Ovis aries: one gene and its partners. The protein of the gene in region 3 interacts with the protein of the main gene of each other region in a pairwise test. Links are inferred from orthologs where the notes say so. Each region holds a gene or a part of one and is shown on either strand. Other genes may lie near its edges.

Region 1 (4,791 bases), on a different chromosome or scaffold from region 3:
ACTGTACTCAGCTTTTTCTATTGAATTAGCAAAAGATGCTCTGTATCCGAGAGAAAGATAATCATTTCACTGATATCAATTCTCTGCTTTTGCTTTTGTTTCTCCTTTCCACAGGGAAATTTTTGCAAAATTATAGTAATTAATACGTATAAAGTCTGAGACCAGAAGAATAGAAAGGAAACTACTATTCACCATCAGGTCACTTATTTAAAAGAAACTTAGCCACAACCCCAGGGCTTTTCTACACAAATAAGGCTTCCCTATTGGCTCAGATGGTAAACAATCCGCTTTCAATGCAGGAGACCTGGATTCAATTCCTGGGTTAGGAAGACCCCCTGGAGAAGGGAATGGCTACCCACTTCAGTGTCCTTGCCTGAGGATGCCATGGACAGAGGAGCCTGGTGGGCCACAGTACTTGGGATCGCAAAGAGTTGGACACAACTAACACTTTTACTTTTAGCCACAACCCAGAACTTTTCTATACAAATAGATATTGTTATGAATGACTGACAGTAACAGGAATTAGCTACAATAGTTTATTCACTGTAACCAAATACACTGGGTTATTATGAGTCACTTGCTAGAGCCTGGAGAAGGCTTACATAAACCCAAATCTCTTTAAACAGGGCTTTTACTCACTGTAGAATATAGTCAAAAGACTACTACAAAATAATTAAATTAGATTCTGAATTTGAGCTGATGGTTGCCTTAGTCATGATACTGAACTTGTCATTAAGAGGATCTTAAACATCCAAGTTGAAGAGTGAACATGTGGTGAGATTCAGTTTCTCAGTAAACAGTGTAAAAATAATGATATTTTATCCAAGGAGGCATGAGTAAGTTTTAATTATCAAGCACTGTATTTCTCCAATAAGTGGGAACAGAAATCAAGTGTTTAGACAGGCTGACATTTCATGTTATTTGAGCTGAAGGACTTACGAAGCCAGGAGAATAGCTGCTGTTCCTACAAGCTGTAGTTTCCCTCTAAGAACAGACATGCAGGAAAGAAACCTGTCCAGGAAGTTGACAGCCAGGTAGAGGGTCTCTGCGCGGAGCTTGTACTCCTCTCCGACCTCAGCCAGCCAATCCACCAGAATGGCCCGCATGCTTTCTGTGATGTCTGGTTGTTTCCTCATGTAGTGTGCCTTGGGCCTGTGTCTTATCTGTTTGCGGAGAGAGTTTTTTTTTTGATGTTTAAATAGTTGTTATCTTATAAGGATCACTCCACAGTACAGTTGCTATTTTTAAAAAGCTCCTGAGCAAAGGTTAGCAGGAAACTCAGTCAAAAGCCAGAGAAATCTGTACATCATGATATGGAACAAACTGTGCAATTCTGGCTCTGTAATGCAATTTAGTTAACGAGTAACTTCAAGGAGGAGGGACATGGCAATAATGGTTCTTCCCAAGAGTGAAATACTTAATATTCAAACTCTTTTGAGACACAGAGAAACAGTCCAAGTAACTGCTACTCACCGCACCCAACTATTATTTTTCATAAACGTTCTCATGCTTAGATGTCACAAGAATGCCATTCGCCAGTGGTCATGGCCAAGAGCATATAATTATGTTAATACAGAGTGCTCGGGGTGCTGGAAATTGAAGGAGAAGTTGGGAAAACTCACTTCAGCTTCTCTAAGGTACTGATGAATTTCTTCAGCATATTCAGTCACATTTATCACATCTGTACCAAAATCTGATGCATCTTCAGACTGGGAGTGGAGAGATGAATCTACCAGCATAGGGGAAACTGCAGGGGGTGCAACATTATCAGGTAAGACATTTCATTTCAAAACTAGTTCCATCCACTAACCCTATACAGGCAGCTCCAGCTCCACAGTTACTGCTCCAGGGAGTTCTCTTGCTAGCTCTACGTTGCTGAACACTGCAGGCGATTGCGAAGACAGGGTATGGTCAGCCATGGGCGAGTCCCATTACCTGTGTTAAAATCCAACAGGAAGTGAAGGTCTGACTTGAGTGCGCTGGTGTCTACTTCATATGCATCCTCTAATGCCATCCCCTTTCGCCCTGGGCAGCTATCTCTGTCCCCCTGTTCAGGCTCATCCATGTAGATGTCAAATCCTTGCTTGGCAGGTGCCTGAACCCTACTGTCCGACAGCGCTTTCTTTCCAGCTGGAGGGAAGGCATTTTCTGATCCAGAGAAACACCTGAGTGTGGTGAGCCCCTAGAAAAGGATGAAGTTTTTGTGTTAGAGGCTTACCCCAGAGCCCGCATAGGTGCTAAGAACACATGTGACTCAAACCAGCAGGCTGGAAAGATGAGAGGAATCTGAATTTGAAATATCCATGTCTGCAACTGAATTTCAGAACCTGAAACTTCCGGAGGATTACTTTGCCCTTATCTTTGTCTATATGTGACGTCTGGGGAAGGAGCTAACCTAAAATTTGTCATCTTCTTCATATATTTATCAAAGGAATGCAAAATTATAGAAAAAAAGAAAAACTACAGCTCTTCTCCAAAGCGAACTAGGTACCATACGTTGGGAGGCGGTGGAGGGGGACTGTAAATCAGCTTTTGTGCTTGTAGCATGCCAGATTTTTATAACAACCCAGCAAGGTTCTTGACACATAGTTACAGAGTCCTCCTTAAAGTCAACTTTTAGTCAACAGGCTCCTGGAAAGGTCCCATTTATACACAGTTATTCAGAAACATGATGCTTTTAGAAATATGTACTGTGAGTTAGTTCTCTTACAAGCTATGGAACACTATTAGATGACATAATGAGAAAGAGAAATGAAATTCTAGACATTTTTAAAAGTATAATCAACAGCATCTTCTCAGCAAGTTAGGTGTGGGGTGGGAGAAAAAGAAGAGTCAAGGATGACAAAGTTTTGGGGTTAAATAATGAGAAGAATGGATATTCCATTTATTGAAATGAGGAAGACTTTGGGAAGAGCAGGTTGGGCCTGGAGTCAGTGTTTGGTTTCACCTAAGTTTGAGGTGCCTACTGCATGATCCAAGTAGAGATGTCAAGTAGATAGCTAACTTGAGCCTGAAACTTAGCTGAGAGTTCCAGACCAGAGACAGAAGAAGGAATCATCAACAGAAAGATGGTATTTGTTGCCAGGAGACTTGAACAGATTGTGAAGGGAGTGAGTGCCAATTCAGATCAAATACTAAGCTCTAGCACACTCTAACTTTCAAAGAGTGGATGAAGAAGAACCAAGATAATGAGGTGTCACCAGTAAGCTAGATGAGAAACCAGAAGAGAGCTATGTTCTCTGGGCTAAGTCAGAAGAAACTACTTCCAGAAAGAGAGAATGACCAACAGTGTCAAACACTGCCATTCAGACAAGTAAGGAAAGGATTACGAATTGAGGCAAAGAGAGGGACTTCCCAGGTGGTCCAGTGGCTAAGACTCTGCACTCCCAATGCAGGGGACCTGGATTCAATCCCTGGTCAGTAAACTAGACCCTGCATGCCACAGCTAAGAGTGTGCATGCCGCAACTGAAGAACCTGCATTCTACAACTAAGACCCATTGCAGCCAAATAGACAATAATTTTTAAACAAATATTTACAACTTTAAATAAGAATTGAGTCTAAGAGAACAGAAGGAGAAATCAAGACAGAGTATCTGTTCAGCAAATACTTGCACGCGGCCCTGGCCGGGCATGATTTTTCTAAACACTGGGAGTACAGCAGAAAACCTGGTATCACAAATCCCCATCCTGATAGAGTTTATAGTAGAAAAATTCTCAAGAAATACCACCATACGTGGAACAGTTGCTGTAAAGAGCTTTGTAGTTGAAATGTTTTTAAGGTTGGGAAAAAAAAAATCACAATATATTTGCATTTGGGTTTGACCCAGTAGAGAAAGAAGAGCTGATGGAATGATAACCTTGAAGAGGCAAGAGGGCATCAGGTGTGCCTCACACATGGGGTGCACCTTGCATAAGAGCAGGAACACATAGGTCACGCAGGGAGGAGGGTGGCAGGGCATACGATACTTGGGGGCATGTGGAAACTCACAGTTGCATCTATATTTTTAGGAAAATAGGATATAAAGTTATAAGCTGAGAGGCAGGATGGAGATAGAGGCTTTAGAGGATAAAGAGAGAAGGGAAAGTATAAAATAAAAGATTTCTATAGGACGGTTGTAGCGGAATAGAACCGGGGAATGCAGAGGTAGCACCAAGCAACATAGAGGGTAACTAACAGTTATGAATTTACAGTGAAACCGCTAAGCACAGGGGTAACTGCCCATTCAGGAGAGGTTTTAGACTTCCTGTTTTAATTATTTGTTTATTTTTAATTGGAGGGTATTTGCTTTCCAATTTGTGTTGGTTTCTGCCATACATCAACATGAATCAGCCGCGGGCATACATATGTCCCCTCCCGCTTGAACCTCCCTCCGACCCCCTACCTCATCCCACCCCTCTAGGTTGTCACAGAGCGCTGGGTTTGAGCTCCCTGAGTCACACAGCGAATTCCCACCAGCTCTTGCTTTTACATATGGTGATGTACATGTTTCAGTGCTACTCTTTCTATTCATCCCACTCTCTCCTTCCCTCACTGTGTTAGACTTCATGTTTAAAGAAGTACACCGTGTCGCTAAGCAAATTAAGTTTGCTAAAACCACCTTTACTCAGCTTTTTCCAAAGCTTGAAACAGATTACTTTGGGTAATTTTCTCCCACTAACCAGATGCCACCAAGACACAAATGACTTGTGTCATTGTGTAGAAGAGGAGTAGGAGTAGTCAGTAGATGAGAAGCTTCTGATCTGGCCTCCATCATGACTTTTATTTGGGTGGGAAGGCTTTCTCAAACCTC
Region 2 (4,452 bases), about 8.8 Mb from region 3:
GCCATCAAAATGGTTACAGATCTCTGCTTTTAGGAATGTTGTCATAGGGATTTCTGCGGAAGGGGATGTGTCTTTGAGTCCCCGGAGGGGAACCCAGAGAGTATCGGATACAGGACAGCAACCTGATTGGGGGGCAGGAGGGGAGGGGGCACAGGAGAAGGAAGGAGGCCTCTACTCTGTATGATTTGCATAAACCAATCCATCTACCCCCTCGGGAACAATTTTTCAAAGTGCTTTTCGAATGGAATGGTTTATACCAACGCTCACCTGTGGACCAGACATGCCAATCAGCACCAAAAAAAAAAATCACGTTTTTTTTTTTTTCCTAATGAGGGATGCCAAGGTCACATTACTCTCTTGAACACCTCAGGAGAAAAAAAAAAAAAGTTCCAGATCCCACCCTGGGGCTCCGTCTGCCTCCATTTCACAGAGTTTGGGGGATGGCCCATAGCTAGATTGCCCCTTTAAGATAAAAATGGGGTGGTGTCTGCAACGAACCGAGTTTGGAAGAAGAAGCAAGGTATAGAAAAACATGAAACCCAGGATCCAATCACCTGTGTCCAACGGGCAAAACAGAACATCTCTTTTAGGTAGCAGCTACGGCAGGCAGCAAGACTTGTCACTAGAGACCCAGCATTGCTTAGCAACAAACAGGTGGTTGGGAGTTAGGCGCTTCTCCACCCAAAATGGTTCGATTGCGCTGAGATCGTTTGTCACTCCCTCCCCATCCTGTCCCTCCTTGATTCCTAATTCCTTCTCAAGTTCATTGCTTCACAATCCAATCCTGCCATACGTGGCATCCGCAGTTCTTCCAAATTATCCAACAGGGGTATATACGTGCTAGTTCATAACATGAAAAAAAAGAGTCTCTAATTTGTTCCCATAGTGCAGGCGTACATTTTTCTCTAGCTACTCTGCAGGTTTTCCTGTAAGCATATTACTATGACTTTTAACATCATCAAACAGTAACTTGGCATATATAAGGGATTCCCTTCTGTTGTACTTCAAATAGGCACCAAATGCTTGTAATGATTTTGTTTTTATAGGACCTTTATCTCTCACTTCTAAAAGATCTTTCAATAGGATCTAGGTGGGGGCAGAATTTTTTTTTTTTTAAGTTTCATCCTAAAATGTAAGAGAACCAAATACAACCAGAGAGAAGGAGAGAGCGGATTGGACGCACCCCTCCCATTGGGCCCGCCCCACATCCTCACAGGTCGATATCCCGAACATCCGTAGGGGTGCTGGCTTGGTCCAGCTCATCCTCCGACTTGGATCCGTCGCCCTGGTCCTGACGGTACTGCTGCAGGCTGTTCAGCAGCACCACCTCAATCTGCTCCTGGCAGGCTTTGAGGCAATCCTAGAAGAGAGAAGCATCGAGACCAGGGCCGTTAGCAAGGGCACCGGGACACAGCAATCAACAGAGAGCACGCACGATTCCAGCCCGCCTGACTCCACACGCCAGCAGGTGGTGGTGGTGTAGTCACCAGGTCATTTCCGCCTCTCGCGACCCCCTGGACTCCAGCCCGCCAGGCCCCTCTGTCCATGGGATCTCCCAGGCAAGAATCCTGGAGTGGGCTGCCATGTCCTTCTCTGCTTCCAGTAGAAAGAAAGTCAACATGGAAGGAGGTGCGTCTTCCTGGTGGCCGGGGAACCACTCCAAGCGGGGTCCACAGGCCAGCAGCATCTGCAGCATCCGCACCACCTGGAAGCTAGCTAGAAATGCGATTCTCAGCCCTCTCCGAACCAGCTGCATCTCAGGATGTGCATTTCATCAGAAGCCCGGGCAGCGCTGGCCAAGGCGAGGGGCCATTTGCGGCCATGCAGCACCTGGTAACTCAAGGGCCAGCGGGATGCTTCCTGCTTGGGGCCACTGCATGGTGAGTGTGAAAAGGGGAAGGTGAGCCCTCCAGACAGTGTGACAGAACTAGACGACCTGAAGGGCAGATATAAGCGAAAGGACTAAACTACACTGAGCCTCCCAGCCACTGCAACCGTACTCAGAAACAAGCAGATTCGCCTCTCCACTTGTTTACCATTTCTTTAACTCTCATAAAAAACACAACACAGAGTGTTTACAACGTTCTGGACACTTAAGCCGTCTAATTTGGGAGAAAGCAAAAAGAAAAAACTGCAGCACTGCTTTGAGATCAGTCTATATTTGGTAGGGAAGATTCAGGGTGTGTCAGCCCCACGCAGAAGCTCCTCTAAACTGGGCGACATTGACGCAGCAGGAATTCATGGGCGTCGTCAGGGTGGGACGGTGGCTGGCACTAGCAACCGGGGCGAGAGCTGAAGTAACTGCTCACAGCAGATACTGGGTAGGCCAAAGGTTCGTTCAGCTTTTCCTGTAAAATGTTGTGGAAAAATCTGAATGGACTTTTTGGCCAACTCAGCATCTCCCGACCTCTCTACTCATCAAGACTGGTTTCCTGGCACTCTCGTAAACGTATGGAAACTATGTGAACTCCACTCTGCCTGGGTCTTTTCAGAGTTTCATGTATGTTCCCCTTGTGTTTGCTCCACCACGCAATTTTCACTGCCCAGAGGTTGCAGTCTGCCAAGCACACAAGCATTATCTCTATTTTCCAAAGATCTAAAATAAAGTTGGAACTCCCAGGAAAGTTTCCATGCCCCCACATTTTCCTTTTGTATCTCTCGGCCACCGTACACTGTTAAACCACAGCTTTTTAGGAAAATTAACATCTGGACCGAGCGCTGAGAGCAGATACGAAATACCACTCAGAATGAGTGAAGAGGGACAGAGGGAGGTGGTATCTGCTGTCCCCACGACCAGACCTGTGGGCACCACTGAGTTATTCTCCTTCTCTGTCCTTGGTTTCCCCATTTGTAATGTAAGACTCAGGAGACGCTCACAGAGGGAGGATCAGTTGAGATGTCCAAATGAAGCTCTAATCGTTCATCACAAAGTGGAAGTCTTGGAATCTGAACAAATTCCTGAGGTTTCTCTGAAATGAGGTACGAGTGAGCATTTGCTCAAGACAGGTGAGGGGCACAGAGGAACGCGCACCAGGGATGGAGCGTCCAGCAGGGATGCAGACTCTTTGCGAACCCACGGACTGCAGCACGCCAGGCTTCCCCGTCCTTCGCCATCTCCTGGAGTTTGCTCAAAGTCATGTCCATTGAGGTGGTGATGCCAACCAACCATCGCATCCTCTGTTGCCCCTTCCTCCTCCTGCCCTCAGTCTTTCCCAGCATCAGGGTCTTTTCCAATGAGTTCACTCTTTGCATCAGGTTAACAAGGCAAAAACTGACAACAGTCAACACTGCTCTGGCTGGTCCCCTACGAAGCTCTCCACCAACCCTGTCGACTTTCCTTCCTCCAAGACTCTGTTTCTGTGTCAACACAACTGCTACCCAACAATACGATGAACCCAGGATGCCATGACCATTTCTGCATTAGCCACACCAGCGGCTGAGATGGGTGGTCCTCTGAACATGGGGATGGGGCTCCAGAGAGCTAAGCAGCTTGATAGGGGGTCATGGACAGTCTCCCTGCAGGTCACCCAGGTGCCTGATCTTCCTGGTATTCAGGCTTCCCTCCCAGCAGCCTGAGACCCTAAAAGGAAAGTTCTGAGAAAGTCCTTCGGGGCGGGCTGGTACACCGGGCAGTCACTTCTACAGGACTTCAAGATAACACAGGCATCGAACATCACAAGTACATTAACTTGCAGCCCCAAACCTTCAAGCTTTCCTGAATAAAATGAAGAAAGATATCACACAAAACACAGACTCTCCTTCCTTCAGTCAATGTAAATCATTTTTGACAGTGACCAGCTCTTCCTCTTTGATACTTCTTGCTTCGAGAGAAAAGGAAGGACCGTAGCAGTTGCTGCAGAAATGAGGATGGAGCAGGAAGCAAAGGCTCTCAGCAGCCAATTTTCTCTCCCATTCCTGGGAAGCACTCTGAGGTCCAAGTCTAACCCTCCTCTGGTTCCACTGCTGACAGCATCCAAGTTTTAACTGTGGGATCTGTTGCTATTGGTGGGATGAAAACCTACCTGAGGGCAAGAGCTCATTTTGCATAAAGGATGCTGAAGTTCTCTGCTGGAGGCACAAAGGTAAGAAATCAGCCTCCTTCTTCCTGGAGAACAGAGCTCATGCCTTGCATTTCTTTCCTATAATTTTTTTTGGCCGCAGTATGTGGGATCTTAAGTTACCAGACTGAGGATAGAACCGGTGCTCTCCACAGTGGAAGTGCAGAGTCTTAACCACTGGACCTCCAGGCAATTCCCCACTCCCTGCATTTTAACACCTTCCTTCAGCATCGCAGGAGCCCTTCCCCTCTGTGGAGTTCCTACGACTGTGAATTTCCTGTGAGCTGCTGGAAAGTGAGGCTGGAGGGAGGGTGGGCTGGTGCCCCTACCCGCAGCAGACTGGCACCCCCACCAAGGCCTGCCCAAAGGGCTCTCAATCTCCCCAGCAGGGACC
Region 3 (5,533 bases):
TAAAATCAAACATCTGTGGCAAGGTGTAATACTCTAGAATGTCTCCATTTACATAGATGTGGTAGTTGTGTACTTATGCATCTGAATTTATGTTCATATAGAATACAGAATTTTGGTGTAGTCCAACAACTGTGTAAAGATTTCAACAACAATAATCTATAATTTCAGGAGTAGGGTATTGAGACCTACCCTAATTTTTCTGTCCCTCTTCTCCATCTTCTCCAGTTCAGTAAATTAAGTGGGGGCATTCGACCTAAAAAATAAAGAAGATGAGACCTTTTACTTAGATGCCAGATGAAATATTTTCTCTCCATCAGGTAGGAAGTCTGGCCTTTGAAAGCACTGTCTCTCTCACTGCTCTCTGGGTCTCACCCTGCCCCTTTGGAATCTGCATTTTAGTCATATTAAGTGCAAGGTCATACCAAAGGCCAGTGACAGTCCTATTTAAATATCAGGGACCACAGGCCACATCAAGGAAACAGCTGCAAGCAGCCCAGAGCATGAGAAGGAGCCATTTTGAATCATTTATAGGAGAGGAGGACCTGCAGACTATAGATAGGAGAATCACTCTGGGTAATAACCCAGAGAAACCTCTCTTGAGTCTCAGTTTCCTCAATGGTTAAAAGAGAAGGTTGAACCACAGGGTTTCCAAGGTTCCTCCTAACTCCTACATTCTGGAATGTCTGAAGCAAGGAAGGCACACAAAGTGGGCAAATACTATGTGGGTTAAGAAAACAAGTTAAATGTCAAACTCACCTGTAGCATAGATGCCTAAGAAAACTGTTGTGCACAATTGCTGTTGGGCACTGTTAGAACCGGAGATTACTTTCCAGTAAAATGTGTAACTTTGATCCAGAACAAAAGAAGGATAGGGAGGGCAGTTAAAGACCCTTTGTTTCAGATATAACAGCCTGTCCATCCTGTTTTAACTTCCATCACCTTGCTCAGGAGCACAGTTAGGTAAATGTCAAGTTGCAAAGGGGAGCAGAGAAATGCCGAAATACTGGGTTGACCAAAAAGCTCGTTTGGGCTTTTCCGTAGGATCGCCTGGAAAACTCCGAACGAACTTTCTGACCAACCGAACAATCTCAGACGTGAGGACACGGTTGTGGTTGCTTTAGAAATCACTTCGCAATCCGGACTTTCCGATTCCTTTCACTCTTAGAAGATCCGCCGCCCTTTAAAAGCGTCAGTCACTTGCATCTGAATGGTGTTCTGGGTGGGTTCCAAGAAGTTGAGTCTGGTGGGAGAGAAGGGTGGAGGAAGGAAGAAGCTGTTGTGTTTGGCGGCTGGACTCAGGTAGAGGAAACTGCTACAACCCGGCAAAGAATTGAAAAATACAAAGAGGAGACGAGTTCCCACACGCAGCCCACGTCAGTGAACTGTACTTGGGAGGCAAGAACCTGGGCCAGGGATCTAACCTCGCTTTTTTTTTTTTAAACTAAATGTGTCTGAGACAGCTACAAAGTTTATTAGGGACTTGGGAGATCAGTTGACTTTTTGATCTTGCAATCCTTTCTTATTTTTTATTGAGAGAAACCTTGGGTTCAGAATACATAATAAAGACTGCATCTATTCCAGGGTAATTTACAGAAAGACGTCCTCCTAGGCTTCTCACCTAAGCCCCTAACCTCCCCTAGAAATAGCAGACTTCTAGGTTAAGGCTGAACTAACCACTGCTCACCTCCAGCTTAAGGCACCCAGGCCGAGGGGCTCCCCGCCTCCCCCGCCATGTGAGCGATTGGGGGCCCCCGGGGGGGAGCCCAGCTAGGGGGCCGAGCTCCCACCCTGCGTCCCCCCATCCCCCGCTCGGTGAGTGCAGCGCAAACAAGATCGCCAGCCAAGGGTACCACCACCGGCGGCCGAGCACCTTGGAACTCTCCCCCGCTTTCCCGGGCGAGGAGCCGGGGAGGTCGGGGCTCCGGAGCAGTGGCGCGCGGGTCCGCGCAGCGCCCGGGATCAGAACACCCGCCGGCCGGCCCCGCTGCCCAGGCCCCTCCCCGGCTCCCCGGCCGTTTGGCGAGCTCGTTTGTCTTATTTGTAATTTCTCCTAGGCCAGCCGGAGCAGGTCTGCTGGCAAGCCGTGCGCCTCCCGCAGTCACGCGACCAGCCCCGGGTCCCGGCCGCGCGCTCGGCGGCGGCGGCGGCGCGCTCGGGAGGCGGGGAGGCGCGGCGGGGCCACCTTAAGGCCGAGCTCGCCAGCCTCGGCGGGGCGGCTCCCGGCGCCGCGACCAATGATCTCCTCCTCTGTTTAAATAGACTCGCGGTGTCAATCATCTTCTCCTTCGTCAGCCTCCCTTCCACCGCCATATTGGGCAACTCCAAAAAGGGGGCTCGTCTTTTCGGGGGTGTTTTTTTTCCTTCCTCCCCGCTTTCCTCTGGGCTCACTCTCTCGCCGCTCCGCGACTCCGCGACGCCCGCAAGGTTTGGAGACGGCGCTCGGGCGGCGGGACCCGCGGGCTCGCGGCGGCCCGGACTCGGAGCGGCTCTGCCCCCTCCTGTCTCGGCGGCGCTCGGCTCCCCTCCCCTCCGCTCCCCGCCCTCCCGCTTGATCGGCCGGGATCGGGGCTGCCTGGCCCCGGGGGGCTGCCCCTCGCCCCCTCCCCCAGCCCCGTGCGCGCCTAGACGCTCGGGCGCTGACTCGGCTCGCGTTTGTTTCTCTTGGCTCCAGGGGCCGGCGCAGGGCTTATAAAGAGGGGCTCGGGCTGGGTCGGGGCGTTTTGTTTTGTTCGGTTTTGTTTGGCGAGAGAGAGAGAGCGCGCGCAAGAGCCTCAGTCGCCGAGACCCCCCACCCCCACCCCACCCCCTGGGAGGAAGATGTCAAACGTGCGAGTGTCTAACGGGAGCCCGAGCCTGGAGCGGATGGACGCCAGACAGGCGGAGTACCCCAAGCCCTCGGCTTGCAGAAACCTCTTTGGCCCGGTCAATCACGAAGAGTTAACCCGGGACTTGGAGAAGCATTGCAGAGACATGGAAGAGGCCAGCCAGCGCAAGTGGAATTTTGATTTTCAGAATCACAAGCCCCTGGAGGGCAAGTACGAGTGGCAGGAGGTAGAAAAGGGCAACCTGCCCGAGTTCTACTACAGACCCCCGCGGCCACCCAAAGGCGCCTGCAAGGTGCCGGCGCAGGAAGGCCAGGATGCCAGCGGGGCCCGCCCGGCGGTGCCTTTACTTGGGTCTCAGGCAAACCCAGAGGACACGCATTTGGTCGATCAGAAGACTGATGCCCCGGACAGCCAGACCGGGTTAGCGGAGCAGTGCCCCGGGATAAGGAAGCGACCTGCCGCAGATGGTAATGACCCTTTCCGATGCCTAAAATGTCTGTCTCTGTCTGCCGCGCTCCTTTCCCTGCTTGAGGGTCTTTAACCGCAGCTTTCTTTTCAGCGCGTTCTGACTTAGCTTTTGGGGCGGAGGTGGGGGGAGCGCACTTTCCTACTTTGAGGTACATGAGTACATGCTATTTATTTAGTTGCCTGCTTGTCTGTTTATGACTTTTAAGTCAGAAGCTTGAGATTGTGTTATCTGATCATTTCTCTAACTGAAAACATCGCGGCTCCTCCCAGCTAGACAGCGGTAGGTATGTGACAATGTTGGGATGTTTATCAACTGCCTCCTTCTTCGCTTTGGAGAGAGAGCTTTGAAGCGTAGAAAATACACTTTCTGTTATGTGAAAACAACTTCATTTTGTGCCCTTAAAGGCCACTGGGAATGACGGACCCAAGATTGTGGGTGGAGGTAGTGGGTTTTTTGTCCCTTGACTCTTGGGCTCACTTCTGTCGGCCATTGTTTTTTTCTAATAAAGATTGTTTGTGTGTGTTCTTTTTAAAAATTCCCTCTTGCCCTTAGATTCCTCTCCTCAAAACAAAAGAGCCAACAGAACAGAAGAAAATGTTTCAGACGGTTCCCCCAACGCCGGTTCAGTGGAGCAGACGCCCAAGAAGCCTGGCCTCAGAAGGCGTCAGACGTAAACCACTCGGTGGGTTGATGACTTGGAGCAAATAAGTGACACCCCAGTTGGGTTGCAGGAACTGGTGGGCTTTCAAGCCCCAAGATAACCCGATCTCAGTGGGGGCTGGCCGATGAAAACTTGGGGGCTTTTGTTTTATGCTTTGGGAGGACAAAAAGGTAGGAATGGGGAAGACTGGGAATCAGTGGGGAGGTACTATAGTTCTTCCCAGTTTTCACCTCCTGAGATTATTTTCCTTTGAAGCACCAACTGATCAGAGCAAGTGTCCCAGGCAAGTTCTTGTAACCAAGGCTCCGTGAGTAGGAAGGTCAGTTCCCTGAAGGTGCCATCAAAACATGTCCAGAACAATAGGTTCTTTTTCCATCTGACCAAGAGCAGGGGTCTGCCTCCATCCCACTTCATGAGAATTCATCTCCCAGAGGACCATGTTGACTCAGTAACAGATTTTGAGCTCTACATGGGCAAAAATGGCAAATAAATGATTTAATTAAAACTTCGAGGGAAAAGTGAGGCACTTTTCCTCACTGAAAAAGTGGTTCATATCTGGATAATCAAATATTTATAAATGTGACAGAAATATATGACTTGCTTTTGTCTTTATCATTTTCATATGCTCTCACACTCTCTGGCTTCTGATAAGTTTGGAGGATGGAGAAGGAACCTGTGTGTTTAAAAAAAGTAAAACTGAAATGGAAGGCTCAAAAATACTAAGGTTCCTGCGGAATTTCTGATAACACTGAAGTTGCAAAGCAGAAGTGACTCTGCCAGAGTAAGCAATCCAGGAACACGTCAGCATGCGTATGCTAATCATGCTATAACAGGAGAAGCTGGGTGCTTGTAGAGGAAATGGAGAGTAGTTATCGGGGTTGGCAGGGGTAGGTGTACCCCCAACATTAGAAGTGGAGATTTTTGCCGTTTACTAAAATACGATCAATATGAAAAGCTAATTTGAATAATCAGCCCCCAGCTTTACATGGATTGGTCTTAAGGATCAAACTACACATATTCATAGTTTGTAAACTTATAATAACTATGTCCTTCTTTCTCTCTCCACTCTCACTAGCCTAGCATATAAAGAGATCCTAAGAAATGTTTACACTAACTTTTAAAATCCTCATTTGTAAAAATTTTAAAGAAGGATGAAGGTGAGGTTCAAGTTTGTTGTGTTTTTAAATCAGTGTCATATATAGGACTTGGCTACATATATGTGATATTTTTCAGAGCTTATATAAAACAGTGCTATGAAACCTCTACATCACAGCTTATATATATGAAGTAGGTAAATTGGATGAAAATGATTTCTGAAGTAACCCTAACACCTGCGGCTCTTGGTTTGTGACTTGTGGCGTAAGTCGTCAGATGAGCAAATCAGACCTGTTGAATTTTGATCTGGCTCCATTCTCACCTACCGAGAAGCACTTGTTAGTAAATATTGCCAGTTCAGAGAATACAGGAAATCGTAGTAAGGACCTATTCATAAGCATTCGTGTGTATATTTCTACATATGACTAAGACTAGAAGATTTTGAGAAAAAAAAAAAGTGAATAGAATTTTCTTTGGAGAGCC

Evidence for each region.
Region 1: the proteins of CDKN1B (region 3) and CCNA1 interact in binary tests that used the Homo sapiens proteins (3 or more experiments, as listed by UniProt). The link is inferred for Ovis aries from reciprocal best matches to the Homo sapiens genes CDKN1B and CCNA1.
Region 2: the proteins of CDKN1B (region 3) and CCND2 interact in binary tests that used the Homo sapiens proteins (3 or more experiments, as listed by UniProt). The two-hybrid records come from large-scale screens. The link is inferred for Ovis aries from reciprocal best matches to the Homo sapiens genes CDKN1B and CCND2.

Annotation. Positions count from the first base shown.
Region 1 is NC_056063.1:25,412,927-25,417,717, forward strand, and holds part of CCNA1 (cyclin-A1), read right to left. Parts: intron 2,183-4,791; coding exon 1,936-2,182; intron 1,772-1,935; exon of another isoform or gene 1,748-1,771; coding exon 1,623-1,747; exon of another isoform or gene 1,605-1,622; intron 1,164-1,604; coding exon 940-1,163; intron 1-939. UniProt on the Homo sapiens protein: May be involved in the control of the cell cycle at the G1/S (start) and G2/M (mitosis) transitions. May primarily function in the control of the germline meiotic cell cycle and additionally in the control of mitotic cell cycle in some somatic cells.
Region 2 is NC_056056.1:211,597,065-211,601,516, forward strand, and holds the end of CCND2 (G1/S-specific cyclin-D2), read right to left. Parts: exon of another isoform or gene 2,141-4,452; intron 1,361-2,140; coding exon 1,211-1,360; downstream 1-1,210. UniProt on the Homo sapiens protein: Regulatory component of the cyclin D2-CDK4 (DC) complex that phosphorylates and inhibits members of the retinoblastoma (RB) protein family including RB1 and regulates the cell-cycle during G(1)/S transition.
Region 3 is NC_056056.1:202,779,799-202,785,331, reverse strand, and holds the start of CDKN1B (cyclin-dependent kinase inhibitor 1B), read left to right. Parts: upstream 1-2,281; 5' UTR 2,282-2,817; coding exon 2,818-3,292; intron 3,293-3,846; coding exon 3,847-3,968; 3' UTR 3,969-3,976; intron 3,977-5,533. UniProt on the Homo sapiens protein: Important regulator of cell cycle progression. Inhibits the kinase activity of CDK2 bound to cyclin A, but has little inhibitory activity on CDK2 bound to SPDYA. Involved in G1 arrest. Potent inhibitor of cyclin E- and cyclin A-CDK2 complexes.